3 linked regions of the Nothobranchius furzeri genome follow. The protein of the gene in region 1 purifies or fractionates together with the protein of each later gene. This does not show direct contact. Links are inferred from orthologs where the notes say so. Each region holds a gene or a part of one and is shown on either strand. Other genes may lie near its edges.

Evidence for each region. The genes of interacting proteins can lie anywhere in the genome.
Region 2: the proteins of smarcc1a (region 1) and ss18 purify together in Homo sapiens (affinity purification with mass spectrometry; 4 studies listed by BioGRID and IntAct, counting the BioPlex papers as one, with this or other methods). This does not show direct contact. The link is inferred for Nothobranchius furzeri from reciprocal best matches to the Homo sapiens genes SMARCC1 and SS18.
Region 3: the proteins of smarcc1a (region 1) and bcl7a purify together in Homo sapiens (affinity purification with mass spectrometry; 4 studies listed by BioGRID and IntAct, counting the BioPlex papers as one, with this or other methods). This does not show direct contact. The link is inferred for Nothobranchius furzeri from reciprocal best matches to the Homo sapiens genes SMARCC1 and BCL7A.

Annotation. Positions count from the first base shown.
Region 1 is NC_091745.1:65,005,356-65,011,156, reverse strand, and holds the start of smarcc1a (SWI/SNF complex subunit SMARCC1), read right to left. Parts: upstream 3,500-5,801; 5' UTR 3,430-3,499; coding exon 3,244-3,429; intron 2,102-3,243; coding exon 1,982-2,101; intron 1,902-1,981; coding exon 1,816-1,901; intron 1,577-1,815; coding exon 1,495-1,576; intron 1,396-1,494; coding exon 1,303-1,395; intron 1,191-1,302; coding exon 1,121-1,190; intron 860-1,120; coding exon 790-859; intron 567-789; coding exon 491-566; intron 154-490; coding exon 28-153; intron 1-27. Other genes in the region: uncharacterized protein si:ch211-215k15.4, read left to right, coding at 4,257-4,375, 4,610-4,680, 5,682-5,801. UniProt on the Homo sapiens protein: Involved in transcriptional activation and repression of select genes by chromatin remodeling (alteration of DNA-nucleosome topology).
Region 2 is NC_091751.1:52,441,538-52,446,763, reverse strand, and holds part of ss18 (protein SSXT), read right to left. Parts: intron 5,134-5,226; coding exon 4,903-5,133; intron 4,226-4,902; coding exon 4,055-4,225; intron 3,759-4,054; coding exon 3,681-3,758; intron 1,745-3,680; coding exon 1,622-1,744; intron 1-1,621. UniProt on the Homo sapiens protein: Appears to function synergistically with RBM14 as a transcriptional coactivator. Isoform 1 and isoform 2 function in nuclear receptor coactivation. Isoform 1 and isoform 2 function in general transcriptional coactivation.
Region 3 is NC_091746.1:40,396,326-40,400,305, reverse strand, and holds the end of bcl7a (B-cell CLL/lymphoma 7 protein family member A), read right to left. Parts: intron 2,704-3,980; coding exon 2,600-2,703; intron 1,418-2,599; coding exon 1,343-1,417; 3' UTR 1,195-1,342; downstream 1-1,194.

The DNA of each region.
Region 1 (5,801 bases):
TTATTAAAATCTGCATCAAACAGCTACCTCCTCCTCTTTAGGGAAAATCTTCTGTCGGAAGCTGACTGGCTTCTTGTTCTCGTCCACCTCGTAGTCCTCTTCATTCATCCACTCATTGAAGGCATCGGTGTCTGAAACCCATTTGGCATGAACCTGACATAAAAGTATATGGAGAGAAAGGGTGGTGGTTAAAAAAACAATAACTCAGTGTTTACTGCTGTGAAGCATCACAGGAGAAAAGCTTCACGGACACCAAAAATGATTAAATCAATTTACAATACAAATAGGATGCAGTCATTAAATTATTGAAAATAATTAATTCTAAAAAGTTATGTTTTCCACACATCAGAAGGGTTAATACCAATATCTAGATTTACATGTTTTTTCCAGAAAAAAAAGTTTTCTGAGCAGCCAGGCTAGTTTTACGCTTGTGTGTCTATTTATGAAATCTTCAGTGCTAAACAGATCATTTTGGTAGAGGGTGCTCCACCTTCCAGGGTCGGTCAGCACTGGGAGGGTCTTCAACGTCTCCGTCCACCTCACCAGCTGCCACCCAGGTGTCGTAGCTGGTAAAATACATAACAGACACAGGATCAGTAAGGTGGTTAATCTGGGTGATTTCAAAACAAAAAACTTGGCAAAAATGTCTCTGACATTAGATTTAGTGTTTTTTAAATTACTAATAAAAATAGAAACTGAATAACTTTAGAGAAATACTCCTGCAGAGTAAAAACATATCCACAATAAAGAAAAGCATGTCCGAGTCTCTCTGTGATCCTTTCTGATTACCTGTCAGGGGAAAAGCCCCAGTGAACAAGCACCTGCTTGTCTTTCCTCATCACAGGACGTAGCCACTCTTCTGAAAAACACAACCCCCAGCACAACTTCAGCAATTAGCGAAGATTTTATCCGTGCTGTGACAAAAAATTCCCATTTTCAAGAAGATCAGCTAAATAAAGCCTCCATAAACGGAGCTAAATGATCTTTATTCTGATCTAGATGTGTTTGATGGGATAGAGATCACACTATAAATGAGTCAGATCAGCAAGGAACAATAACACCCAAGTTCAAACATACATCATAAAATGTATGCACAAAGTCACAAAAGTTATAAACCAACCTTCTTCCTGCTGCTGAAGAGAAGGATAAATGTGGTGGGTGGCCTTTGACTTATCCTCGGTGGTGGAGCCCTGAAGAGAAACAAAGTTAGATAATTGAAAAGACAAAGACGTTCATGCTAGTCATAATAAAAATACATAAAAAAATAAACTGTTTTTATTTCCTGGTTTGAAGTGAACTCACCTGGTGCCTTTTGACGATGTCTTTGAGCTTACTCGCTTGTTTTTGCTCTATTTCCGAAGACAGGTAGACCAGAGGTCGCGTCAAGCAGTTATTCTACAAAAACACAAACCATCGATAAAACCAGACGTTACCCATGCAGAGGTCAAATATATAGAAGACAAAAAGTCTGTGTTCAGACTGGGATGCTCATACCTGAACCAGGTTCTTCTCAACATTTAAGAACATCTCCACATTTCTGTCCATCCTTGAGGGATTCTGCAAATCAAATCTTCGCCTAAGAGTAGAGTTCATAAAGCAAAACCAAATTAGTTTTAAGACGAACACACAACTGACTAAAAGTTGAATATCCTTTTGATTTCATGCAGTATGAATTTTGTCACATTTTACAAGATGTTCAGTTCGTGGTACTGGTGTAACCAAAGAGTTAAATTCTGCTAAACCACTGGTTCAAAACAATCAAAGAGGTTAAGTTTGGGTCATACCAGTTTTGAAGTTAAAAATAAATCCACTCACCAGCCCTGTTCACTTTTAAACTTATAAACCGAGCCCAAGATGTGACAGAGAGCCCCTCCAGCCTTAAAGTCCAGGAAACACTTGGCCTGAAGAGAGAAGATAAACAAAGAGATTCAAGACACAGACATTATGATAGCTTTTGGTTCTGCAAAGAAGGTGTGCTTACAGGTAGCTTGGTAAGAGCTGGATTGTTGACCCTCCGTCCAAATGCATCCTCTTGGAACTGCAGCAGCTGCACCACCAAGCCTCCCAGTGATTTGCTGGAGGGGGAGTCATTCTGAACATACTGAAAAAAAAACCATAATCATTGAATCATTTACATGCATCACTGACAAAGAAACAGGAAAGCATCTGAAAATGAACACATATATATTACAAGCAGCTACAAAACTTTGGTGACACACAGAAGTCTGCACAGTAACAAATACATGCATGGTCATGGGAATAGGTCTAATTTCGCAATATCTGATATTTTAAACACTATTAACCACAACCTTGCTGCTCATTTAACAAATAAATCTTCAGCTGGGCGACTTGTTGTTGTTTTAACTTTACTAAGTCCTATAAATAATGTGTTCTGGTGTGACATGAAAATATTTACATGCAATCACAGAAATCCTTATTAATCTAAGTACCTACGTTTTTTAAGTCAAAGACACGGTAAGAAAAACATGATTCCAACACAAAAACTGCAAACAAGCAAACTTAAAACAGAATCTAGACTCCATCAAGTTTGCTGTTCAGTTGAACTTTTGCGTTGTTTTTAAATGCGCCTCCATGGGCGTGATGGTGGGTTTGAATAGATACACTCTTTGTTTTGCTGGGCGAGAGAAGCCAGAGGCTGTCTGCCTGATGAGTGTGTTGACAAAACAACACAATGAGGACTCTTTTACACAAAATGCAACAAACACAATTATCTTGTGACTTTCTGAGACCTAAATATAACGTAAAACAGAATGAATGGTGTGTTATGTTTATGTGAATCGTACACACACGGTGCACCGTGACATTTTCGTTAGTTTCTTAGGCCTTTACACCGAATGAGTGGGTCGTATATATTTTTAGCACACAACATAATTTCACATGTGCGTTTTTACTACAATAACGTATCAACAGTTCGACATTCAGTACCTTATTAGAACTAATTTGTTGTGTTTAGCTGACTGAGCGGCTAGCGAGCTAGCTGATGGCAGGCTAACAGAAAAGCAACTTCACTCCAGCTATCATAGTACGTTTGCATTTAATCGTGTCTAAAAGGAGACTGTCTGCACTCTCTTGAGCGAGATTATAAACATGAGTCAACCAGAACAACTACAGCTAAAGTTAGCTTAGTGTACATGAAGGTTATAAACATATCAGCGCTCTATTGTGCCAGCGAGACGCGGGCCTTTATAGAAATCAATGAGGAACACAGCAGCGTTAACCCACCTTCTTGTAGTGCTTCCCGATCCAAAGCCGCACCGTCTCGAGCTGGGACACCGTCTCGGAACTTTCCCAAAATTTCGTGGAAGGACCGCCGTCTTTCTTTCGTCCTACCGCGGTTCCTCCACCGACCAGGCCTGTGGCTGGTCCGCTTGAACCCGTTCCGCCCGCAGAAGTCGCCGCCGTCGCCATTGTGTGTAGCTCACTGCGTTGTCTTTCTCCTCAACGGCATCCCTCGCCGTGCAAGTTTTCAAATGATACTGCGCAGCCGCAAAGTGATCACGAGGTTTATGTGACGCTCATGGGAAATGTAGGCGTACCCCCCCCCCCCCCAGATTCACGTGGCAGGGTTATAGGAATTAACACAAAAAGTAAGGAGCTGATTAGACAAATCTGCCATGTCTGCAGGCTTCTTATCTACTTTTAAACACTATATTCCTTTTATTTTTACTTAATAGAGTATTTACTTAATGACATTAATGGAGCTCTACAGACAAAAGAACATTTTATGGTATTATTGTGAAACTTCAGTTATGTCGTCAACATGTTGCCACCAGATGGCAGCAATACACTTCTCAGTATGTTTCCTTCTGTTGGGCTTTATGTGCACATCATGTTTTGCTTGAATATTTGGTTGGGTGTTATTTTGAATGACTGGGTAAAGAAACAGAATCCCATCACAATCTTCTATTTTACTCTTCATTTTAATAACTAAAATAGGACATTCAGTAGCATGGATAAAAGGTAAGATAATCTTGCTAAAGTGACATGGGTATGTTCAAGCCAAGCCTAATTAAGAAATGTATTTTATACAAATCTATTTTTTATATTACAGAAGGAAACCATGACGTAATAAGTTTGTTCTCTGAGGTTCAATGGCCATAAACAACATGTGGTGCATCATCGCCACCTATAGGTCTGGAGTGTGGACCGGCACTCCTCTCCTGTCTCCCCCGAAGTCAGTAATAAACTGATTGGAATCCCAGTGGCACCTGCTGGTGCTCCACCCCCTCTGATTGATGGAGGAGCAGATAAAGGTGTGTGTGGCATGGTCCATAATAGTTGTTAGAGCTCTGATTGTTGCATGGTCCATAATAGTTGTTAGAGCTCTGATTGTTCTTCTGCTGTCGAGAGTGTGGTAAGAGATCACTTATTTGGTCATGGCTTCCGAAAGTTTTTCTGTATTTCCTGTCAGTGTTATTTCTCACTCCCACGTTTCCCTTATATAAAAGATTGCTTCCTCCTCTTTTTGTAGTTCATTTATTTTCTCACTAAAGTGCTAAGCACGTTTATAGGTCATAATTCTAGCAATTTGCTTTGAACTCTCTTTAACCTTGCAAACTTATTTTTTTACCTTGTATGTTTTAACCAGCATCATGGGATCCACTGTAATGTTGCAGTTGCTGCTGCTCTGCTTTCCATTGTGCTCTGCTTATGCATATGGTAAGGCTGATTTCAATATTTCATTGCTAGTGACACTTTGACAGTAATGCGCTTTAGATGGGATGTCGTTAAATATCTAAAGAGGTTTGCACAAGATGACTTGTTTTAGTTCCTTCATATCCTATAGAGCAGAGGTTTCCAAATTGGGATATGGGGTCCCTACAATTTTGTCTTTGCTGAGCTTGTGAGATTAGCAAGAATTATAAAAATTACATTTATAAACTCCAAATAACACACCCTACAGTAAAATCAAAACTCCATATATAATTTATAACTCTATGCTGGTAAAAGATGGTAAGTGATTACATTTAATGTGTGTACGCATGTAGGAGTTGGGGGTCCTGACTTGTCTTGGACATGCACAAGGGGGTCCTGGGGAAAAAAGAAATTGGGAAGTCCTGCTTTAGAGTGGGGTATTCAATTCTGGTCCTGGAGGTCCACTATCCAGCACATTTAGTAGTTTCTCTTATTCAACACACTTGACTCACCTGTGCAATAGCTCATCAGGCTCTGCAGAAGCCTGTCAATCACCTGCTGATTGAAATCAGGTGTGCTGAAACGGGGCTAAAATAAAACTTGCAAGATACTGGACCTCCAGGCCTGGAATCAAATACCCCTACTATAGAATAAATGCTCTTCCCCTTCCAGTTGGCTGAGGGGTCTCTGTGTAAAAGTAGATGGGGCTAAGTTGTATTTTGGTCTGCTTAAAATTGAATGTCCTCATAAGATGACCAATTAGCCGATTGGAAGAGCTCCCTGTTCCTGCTTTATTCTATTCTGTTATGGGGAGGTGGTGCCTCTACCAGCAATCATTGGGTCAATGATCAGGCTCACAGTACACGTTTGTCCATCCCAGGACTACAGAAAAGCAAATGGTGCCAAGTAAACAGCTTTTCAGCGTAAGATCTGAGATGTTCCCTGTAAACTAGTTTAAATGCATTTGAAGATTTAAAGATTTGTATAAAAGATTAGGCTTGTTTTTCTTCTCTCCCTTTTATTAGAAAATGTGGCTCTGCGTGGCACTGCAACACAATCTACACGCTTGCTGGGAAATACCAATGTTTTGGGAATTGCCATCAATGCCATTGATGGGAATCGGAATTCCCAGATGATGGCTGGAT
Region 2 (5,226 bases), on another chromosome or scaffold:
CAGAAGCTCTGCTAGCCAATGTTCTTAGAAGAGCTAGTTCAATTTGTTAGCTTGTTACCAGAATCAAAGCTGCAGTTTCATCATCTGAGCTGCTTTTTAAGATCTAGGTAAACTTGTTCAATTTGGGGTTAAAAACAAACGTTTTCACATATTTTCCATGTAGTTTTTTGCCAGTTCCTCTTCTGAAAGGTAGACAATTGTTTTTCTCTTTCCCTCAGAAAATCTTAATTTTCTCCTAGTTTGGCCCAGCACAGATCACTTCCCAATTACAGCAATAGCCTTGTATCATAACCACATAAGTGGATAAAATGCTCAGTAGCAATGAGAGAATTTGCTGTTGCATTTAAGTGATGTTAACTATTATTTAACATTTAAACTTATTTTCTGATTTTTTTATTTATTCAGAAAACCCTGGTAAGGGATGTTTTTCTGTATTTGGAGCATCAGAAAAAGTTTTATGGTGGTGGTGATGTTTTAAAGTCACTGAGAAACTGCATGCATGCAGTTTGTTGTTTTGCTGCTAATACAGTAGCAGTTGCAGCTGCATATTTTTGCAATAAAAATGTTATGTTGTAATGGAATTCATGCATTAGTTTTTGTTTGCTTTGAACCCAGAGCAGACGTCACACGCCAGACGACATCAACACTGCATACTTTAGTATTTGTTCATTTATCGTGAGTAATATCGATATCGCAATATTAAGCACTGTTATCGAATATTGCAGGTTTTCCTAATATCGTGCAGCCCTAACTCAATCCTTCAACAAGCTTGACAACATAGATCATGATTGCCCTCCATCGAACCTGTGTGCTTACAGCTCATTATAGCATCCACTTCTAGACGTTTATTTGAGAAACTTTGGGAGGTTTCTGTTATAGTGGACTGTAATAAAATCTGCTGGATGATGGCTCCCAAACTCAAGGAGACATGGAATTTCAGTTTGTCTTCATTAAAGAAGCAAGCATCATTAAAACTAAAAAGAAAAAAATATACATATAGATATTTATATATCTCATCAACCTCTGTTCAGGACTGCCATCTTTCCAGCCGTTGTGAAGGACTGAGGGTTGAAGTCAAATGAGGCCCACGCAGCATCGTTAGGCGCTTGTAATGCCTTGTGCTGCTGTGCATAACCTTGTGGGGGCCTCGGAGAACAGGCATGTGTATGTGCCAGATGGATCTCACCTCAGCCTCTGCTAGCTCATTACTAACATGAGCTCTGGCTCAGATAGCAGCGAGTGATGGGAAATAACAGAAGAAAGATCTTTGAACTTCTATTCTACAAATTCTTCAATGCGTGTATTTATTACCGCTACGTTGAGGTTTGGCTCGGTTTTATCATGGAGTCTAACCACAAGCCAGGGGTTGGGCATATACAACACATGAGCTGTAGAGGAAATGAGTACTTAATAATGTATGAACAGATAACTTTTGCAATGAGAAGAGGAAGCTAATAAGACAGGACTGCAGCTTACTAAGGCAGTCCTTTTATGTTTTGCTCCAGATGATGGTGACATAGCAACTAGCACCTCACTCAAATTAAATCATTCAAGTTAGACGAAGTCCGCCAAGAGAGCCAATGGTGCCTCCTACAGGACAAACGAGTTCCCCAAAACTCACCATAGCCTTGTTGCTGCGGTGGGTAGCCCTGTTGACCCGGGTACTGCTGCTGTGGCGGATAGCCCTGCTGCTGAGGCGGGCCTTGCTGGTACGGTTCCTGTTGTTGGCCATACTGCGCATTACCTTCGAACAGCATCAGCAGGCATTGTTAAAACACACCAAGATTCAAACAAACAAAACCAATGCTAGATGTAAAGTAACTGAGCTCATTTTCATTTTAAAATGTGCAGAAAGTCACAGAATATTTTAAATAAAACCATAAAACTACGGTCTGAAATTCTAAACTAATTCTCTCACTAAAACAGACAGAAACGGATCAGCACTTTTCTAAGTCTAGACATAATTACTTTAGTTTATTTTGAGTTAAAAGTGAACAAACATGACTTGGTGGCAGATTGTACACACCCACACTTTAGATATTTGTTTTCTTGTTAGAAAAAATAAGCTCCATGTTTGAAAGTTCATAGGGAGGAAAAGGGTTATTAGAAGAAAAACAAAACCACAAAAGTAAATGTTAACAAGACAAAGAGGAAGAGTTTTGTACTTTTACCAAGTCAGTGAATTGAACAGATCAAACTGCAAATGTTTTAGCGTCACGAGACATCTACTGTAACCGTCTCATGACACTGTAACAAGACAGTTACGCTAGATGGTAGTTTGTGCTGCTTTTTCAATATTTGTCAGTAAACCTGGACTTATAATTGCTTACAGAAAATGAACATGCAGACTGTATTGCAAAAACTGAAAAAATTAACAAAGTAGCATGTAAAATAAGTATGAGCCATCTAGAGCCTAAAATCCCCAGAATGCATTGCAGAAACTGAAATGTTTTGCTTTGTCGAAGCTAGGGTTGTCATGGTGTGAAAATTTAACCTCACGGTTATTGTGACCAAAATTACCATGGTTTTCGGTATTATCGCGGTATTTTTTTTTAAACGTGCTACATTTTCACACAATTTAATAAACCCTGTATATCAGGAGATATTGTCCTCAGTTTGTCTAAATTTTGCTTAAAATGTGTTATTTTGTAATTATGTTGTTTATTTGTTTACATATTTCCCCTTTAGTCTTTAAAATACCAATATTTGCCCATATCTTCTTATTTTGTCTGTTTGATGTCATCATTTTAAAAATATTAGATCAGATGATACTCAGTACTCAAGTAGCCTTCTAATCAGATACTTTTTTACCCTTACTTGAGTAATAAACCGTATATCAGGAAAATATTGTCCTCGGTTTGTGTCCTTCCAGTGAGCTTTGCAGATGTGGGAAAATGTCATCAGGCAGTAATCATTGTTAAATTCTTAATTATTCTCGGAGAGAGACCAACTCTTATCTGCCCCTGGGAGCCCTGTAATGCATAGCGTCATTTCAACATGGGGTGTCCGTGACACGGTTTATATGCAGGTAGCGGCGCTGCGGCTGCTTTGTATAGCGACTCGTTGCATTCTCCCTCAACCCAAATCCTCGGATCACGCATTCTAGCTAAAACGCTAACGTTAGCTTGCCTTGCGTTGACTGTAGAGTTGCGGGAGATGGTCACGCAGATGTGTCATGAGATTTGAAGCGTTGCTGCCTTTCACAGACACTTTTTCTGCACGTGCTGCAAACAGGATAGCCGTCTTCTATCAACTGTCCCTCGGCATTCTTCAAATATCCAAAAGATGCCCGTACTTCCCACTTTGTCTTCTTTGAGGGATAAAAAATGTCCTCCTGAGCGCTGCCGTCTCCTCCTTTGACCATTATTTCAGCTTTAGCTTCAAGAAAGTTTTGGTTGTAAACAACAAAGCGCGCATGTGCCGCCAGCAACTTCAGCAGATGATACGGTGGCTGGTAAGGGTCACCGCGCCTACACCACAGCCACGGTAATCCACCGAGATAATATCGTTTTTTTTTTAAAAACAAGACGGTTATTATTATTGTCAACTTTTTACCAGGGTTTACCGCTACACCGGTTACCGTGACAACCCTAGTCGAAGCATCGTTTTTGTGTTTTGACTCAACTCCTGGGTTGACTGATTGTCTGTGTTCTCCCAAGTGACTTGCAGGGTTCTCCTACCTTCTGAGGCGCCCTGTCCTGCGTGACTGTACTGGTCGCCATAGTAGTCTTCCTGCCCTGGATACTGCTGGGGGGGTCCTACATACAACATACACACATGTAGATTCAAGGTGCTGTTGCTGTGTAAGGGGGGAGGAGAGGGTAGAGGGGATAGACTCCTTGCTTCTAGTTCATCTTAAAGGAGCTTTCCCTTTGTCACAACTAATTTTACACGGGATTTTGGATTAAACCGTTACTGAACAAGTTGTCTGCAGTCTACAGAAGATGAAATAGAAACAGACTGGGAGGAACAAGAGTGAGAAACACAGGAGGGAAAAGGAGAAGGAAGACCGACACTCTGCTTGGATGTGGAACTGACACACTGAGTGGTTTACCTTGCTGTGGAGGTCTGTAGGGCGGCATTGGCCTCTGCCCCATGACGTGGTTCCCTTGGTTGACCTGACCCATCATACCCATTGGGGTCTGTTGGCCTTGGTAGTGCTGTCCACCACCACCAGGGGGCATGTTGTACTGCTGCGATGGAGGCTGCTGATGCATCACCGGACCTGTCGAACACAACCATGCCCCACAGTGACTTAAACGTGTTGAACTCTTGTTCAATACATTTGCAGTGGTCTCTACTAGGAATGAATGTCTTAAGTAAGTCATACTCTGGGAGTGGGAGGAGGACCCAGATGCGTCTGAACCAGGAAGCTGGAGGAGAAAGTAGCTTCAGATGGCAGGTTTTGGAGACTTATTTCCTGATTTTTGGACATCTCGTTTCTACTTGGTTAACAGCAAAGCAATTCTAACACTGACTCAGTTTGCTCTGCAACTTTTATGTTTCATCTCCACAAATAACAAATGCCTAGAGTAGTTCTGCCATGTGGCAGAGTTGCTAATGCTAATGGTTAGCTTCTACCAGTCGAGATGTTCTCTGCCGTTTCTTAAACGCCAAACCTAACCAACAACGGCCTTCCTCGTCACAAGCCAAGATGAGAGAGTCCATGAATGTTAAGTGGCAGTGTGATGTAGATCTGTCAGGCTTTTCAAATCCTAGAGTTTCACCGTCTATTTTCTATCATAAGTTAGTCCAGGAGATAGGTGTAGGTGACAGACTCAGAGTGACCGATTATAATCCGAAATAATAATTTAAAATGGTTTTTATCAGTGTTTAATAAATTCCTTTCATTGTAAATCTAACCAGTAATTGACTATAAAAAATGGGAATGCCTCGTTTCACCTTGATTGGGCTGCATGTTCATGTTTGGTCGAGGACCGTAGTTTCCCATAGGTTGGCCTTGGGTCATGTTCATTTGATTCTGAGCTGGCATGCCTTGGGAAGAAGGAACTGCGTGATTGTAGCCACCCATGGAGCCATGGCTGCTGGGAGGCATGTTCATTGAGCCACTGGGCATGTTTGGAGGCTGGTTGGGTCCTGGACCAGGACCTTGCATGGGCATGTGATTAGGTCCTGAAAAACATCAGTGAACAATACATGTTAGATAACAAAAGTTAAAATATAAATGTTTTTTTTTGTGCGCTGAAGTAGACTCACTGATGGAGA
Region 3 (3,980 bases), on another chromosome or scaffold:
AAAGGCAAAGGGTCCATGATTCCTCTTGATTGCATGATGTAAAAGGATGTGAAAACACTTTTCAAAAGAAACAAGTGTGTGGATGTTTATGTCCTCATTTGGTAAAATATAAAAATTCATGACAAAAAAAATCTTGTTTCCCCCTTTTTTTTTTTGCTTTTCAGAGCTTCTGTAGAAAAATGATAGTTTAGAACTTCTGGTCCATGTGAGCAAATTCAGGAGGAGACCGTTTTCAGGCTAGTGGTCTTTCTCTCTTTTTAGCATAATGCTAAGCTAACACTATAATCAGATTTGATGTAACAGTGGTATCAGACTTCTTTATCTACAGTCAGCAAGAAAGCACATTTTTATAAAACAGAAATCCAAACGGTTGTAGCTGAGTATAAACATCAGAGAAAACCCATTAGTGACAACTCTAAGGCAAAAAAAAAAAAAAAACATGGCACCAAAACATTAAGTCCAAACCTGCTTGAACTAAACTTGTATCAATGGTAACACAAAGGCACACCTCCAGGACACCTGCTAGCCACGCCCATCCTCGCTACATTTATCTGCACATGTACCGTCGCCTTCTTCTATGGACCACAAGCTAATTCACTTTAGAAACACATGAATGGAGAACCTTTATGAATTGAGAAAAAAGACATCCACTACAGCAGCAAATCTATCTCTGTGATCGATTGTGACATACCATAACAGTGCATTGACCCTCCTGAGGAAAAAATAAAAATAAAAAAAACATTTCCTAAACAAACAGAGAACATTAGTCTAACAGGAGGCAGATGGGGAGGATTGAAGTGACTGGGCCTTAGGGTGGAGGTCCCCCCCCCCCGCAGCTGCTGATCTGAGACCAGGTTAGCCCCACCAGTTATCCTGAGCTAAACCACTAGCAGTAAAACAATTAAAGAGCAGTCTCAGAGCAGCGTTCGCGATCGACCTCGTCCTAATCCCAGACCCACTGTTTTCACTCACAGAAGCAGGTCAGTGCTGAGTTGACAGCGCCTCCTGTGGTCACAAAGGGGACCGCAGCCTGGGGTCGGCATTTCTCTTGGCAAAGTAATGTGGAGGACTGTAAGGAAGCACGGAGGGGGAGCAGTGAACAGAGGTAATATCCATCCTCCCTCGGTGGCGGGGGAGAGTACAGGGAGAGAGACGGCCATTCTCTCGTTGGTCTTGTGAGTTTGGGAAGAGAAAAATTGGCAGAAGAATAAAAAATAATAATAAAAAGGGAGTGAGGAGAGCCGGTGTGTCCATTAGCCCTAAATCACCTAGAGTTAATGGAAGGAGGTACAGAGAGAGGGACACAGGAGGATGAGGAGAGAAATGACTCAGCCCAAAATCTTTAGCTCTCCTCAAAGTCCTGAGATGAGGACTCCAGTTTGCTTTTCTTACTGGGCGGGGCCTCCTCCTGTAGGTCCTAGGAGCCAGACAAGAGAAACAAAGTGTGAGATTTTCACCAGAATCCATAACTAAAACATCCTTCTCTTTAAGCGGCTGCATGGTGGAATCAAGATGAGTAACTCCATTTAATTTAATCTGTGTGCTAAACACACAGCTGCTGGAGTCCGGTAAGCTCCAAAAACATGTAAATGTACTTTACATGTGTGCAGAAATATCAGTTATGCTGCTGAGAATGTTAACACTGATGAACGTGTTTTTAAAATGTGCAAAGATCTGCTAAAACAAGACTTCTCTCCCATCCCCAAATCACTTCACTGTCCATTCCTGTTCTCATCTCGGTGGTAACCCAGAAAACTAAACAAATGAGTCCTATAAGGACAGAGTGAGCTGCCCGACTCGTTAGCTGCCAAAGAAAGAATTTGTTCTGTCAGTCGGTCTCAATTCAAAATGTACTCCTCAGGTGAGAAAAGAAACAGTAAAAAAAAACATGTCCAGTTTACTTTGACTCACATCGCTAGCATCACAGATGTTTTTGTTTTATTTTGATCGACGCGTTACTGACCATTAGAATTTATTAATGCATGTTAACCTTAAGAGCCCCAAATACTAATAGATAAGATAATTCACAAAAATATTCTCAAAAGACAAATGGTCAAAGTTTGCTTTTTACGAGTTTATGAAAGTTTTAAATGGAGGATGCAGTTTTTAAATAGGCTCAGTACAGAAGTGTAGCTGATGACCCAATCAACCTTTATTTCTGCTGTTCGTGCCATTCTTTTGCTCGTTAGATGTCAGCAGCGCTGTTAGAGACGGTCTATCATTGGACTGAATTAATTAGGTTCAGTAATATTACACACACAGCAGGAATCTGTCAAAAGGGACGAGCATCAATGTCACATTGTAAATGCCTCGAGGACTATATGTCTTTGGTGCGTCTCTATAAAAATTTCAGTTCAGTTCTGCTGAGAATCGCATCTCAACTCTGGATGAGGATGTGGAGTAGGGCAAGATGGAAGCGATGGTTGTATCAAGTTTATCCTACTCTTTCTAAAGACACGTTTTACACACAAGTGAATTTACTACTCATATTTGTCATTTACCCCCATCCCTTGTTCCTAGAAAGCAGAGTTAAACAGATGAAACTGGCCCCGCCCACATGGTCCCTGCTCCTCTCAGGTGGTCACAGACGTGTTTGTACCTGAGTGGCTTTGCTGTTAGAAGAATCCTTCTCTCCTGAGGACATGCTGTCTCTCTTGGTGCTTGGTGCCCTCTCTGAGGTCTCTGATAAAGAAATGTTCTTACCTGGAATTTAACACAGCAACAAATCAGTCTGACTCATTTAGGCTCTCTAGTGGCACTGTGTGGTTGTGTGGAGTAACTGCACAGTTGGATTAACGGAGCCACAATATGACTGGTCTTTTTCCATGTACAAAAATTAAGAAAATCTAATTAAATGTAATAAATGTTGCCATACAACCAAAATCAGATTCTTACAGAGCCTGCCAGGTACCACATATTAAAAACCAGGCTGTAGAAATCTGTCCTCTTTGTTTAAGAAAGCATACAAACATCTGCTCAGACATCATTCTGTTTGACAGCACGCTACAGATCTATGTTCAGTAAAATTGGGACCAGTTGGAACTTCCAGGATTTATGAATCGTAAACATAAGCATCAAAACTCTGTAAAACTACATATAAACTAAATCCTAGTCAAACAAGCCATGTTACAAGCCAGATAAGTGCTTTGAAACTGTCAATAAATAATGACAAAGAAATGACCAAACTTTATGTAAACTTTACGTTTCCTATTAAAGTGGAAACACAGACTACACTAAAGGTGGTATTAACTTTCACAGCCAGACGGTCCCTAAAGCCTTGTTTCACTTCTGGTGTTTGTCTCCCTTCATAGGGAGCCTAAGTCACGCCTATCTACTTCTGGATCATGGGTCCCCGGAAGAACAAAAAAACGAATGCAAGTCAATGGGGCTAAAAACGCTATTTTCTAATCTACTTGTTTTGTGCCATGGATTTCACATATGATGTCTGTGAATTTTAAAGACACATTCTGATACCAAAAACGCGCTTATTTTTGAACAGGGAGAAATGCTATTTTAGATTTGGTGTGAAAATAAGTCCAGGACTACAAATGCACTTCACAAAAGTGACATCATCGAACCAGACATGGAGAAAACTGAGGGAAAAGGGCTGTAAGTTCAGCAAAATTCCCACAGGAGGAAAGAACCACCATAAATCTGGCCATTTGGTACGTAGAAGCTACTTAGGGGAGAGGAGATTATGTGGTGACGTCACATATGCGACGTGCCGATTGCTGGAGTGTGGTCATGCTAATTATGAACTTTTACAAACTGATAAATCTCAAAGTACGTGACCGGGGTGGTTGAAACACCCATTGTTACTTTTCATTTAAGTTGCAGTACAACATATGTGCGATCCAGGACGTAAGGCGAAGCAATTGGAAAAAAGCGTTTTTAGCCCCGTTGACTTGCATTCATTTGTTTGGTCTTCCGGGGACCCATGAGCCGACCGGAACGGGAGGAGACTTAGGGTCCCTATCCTC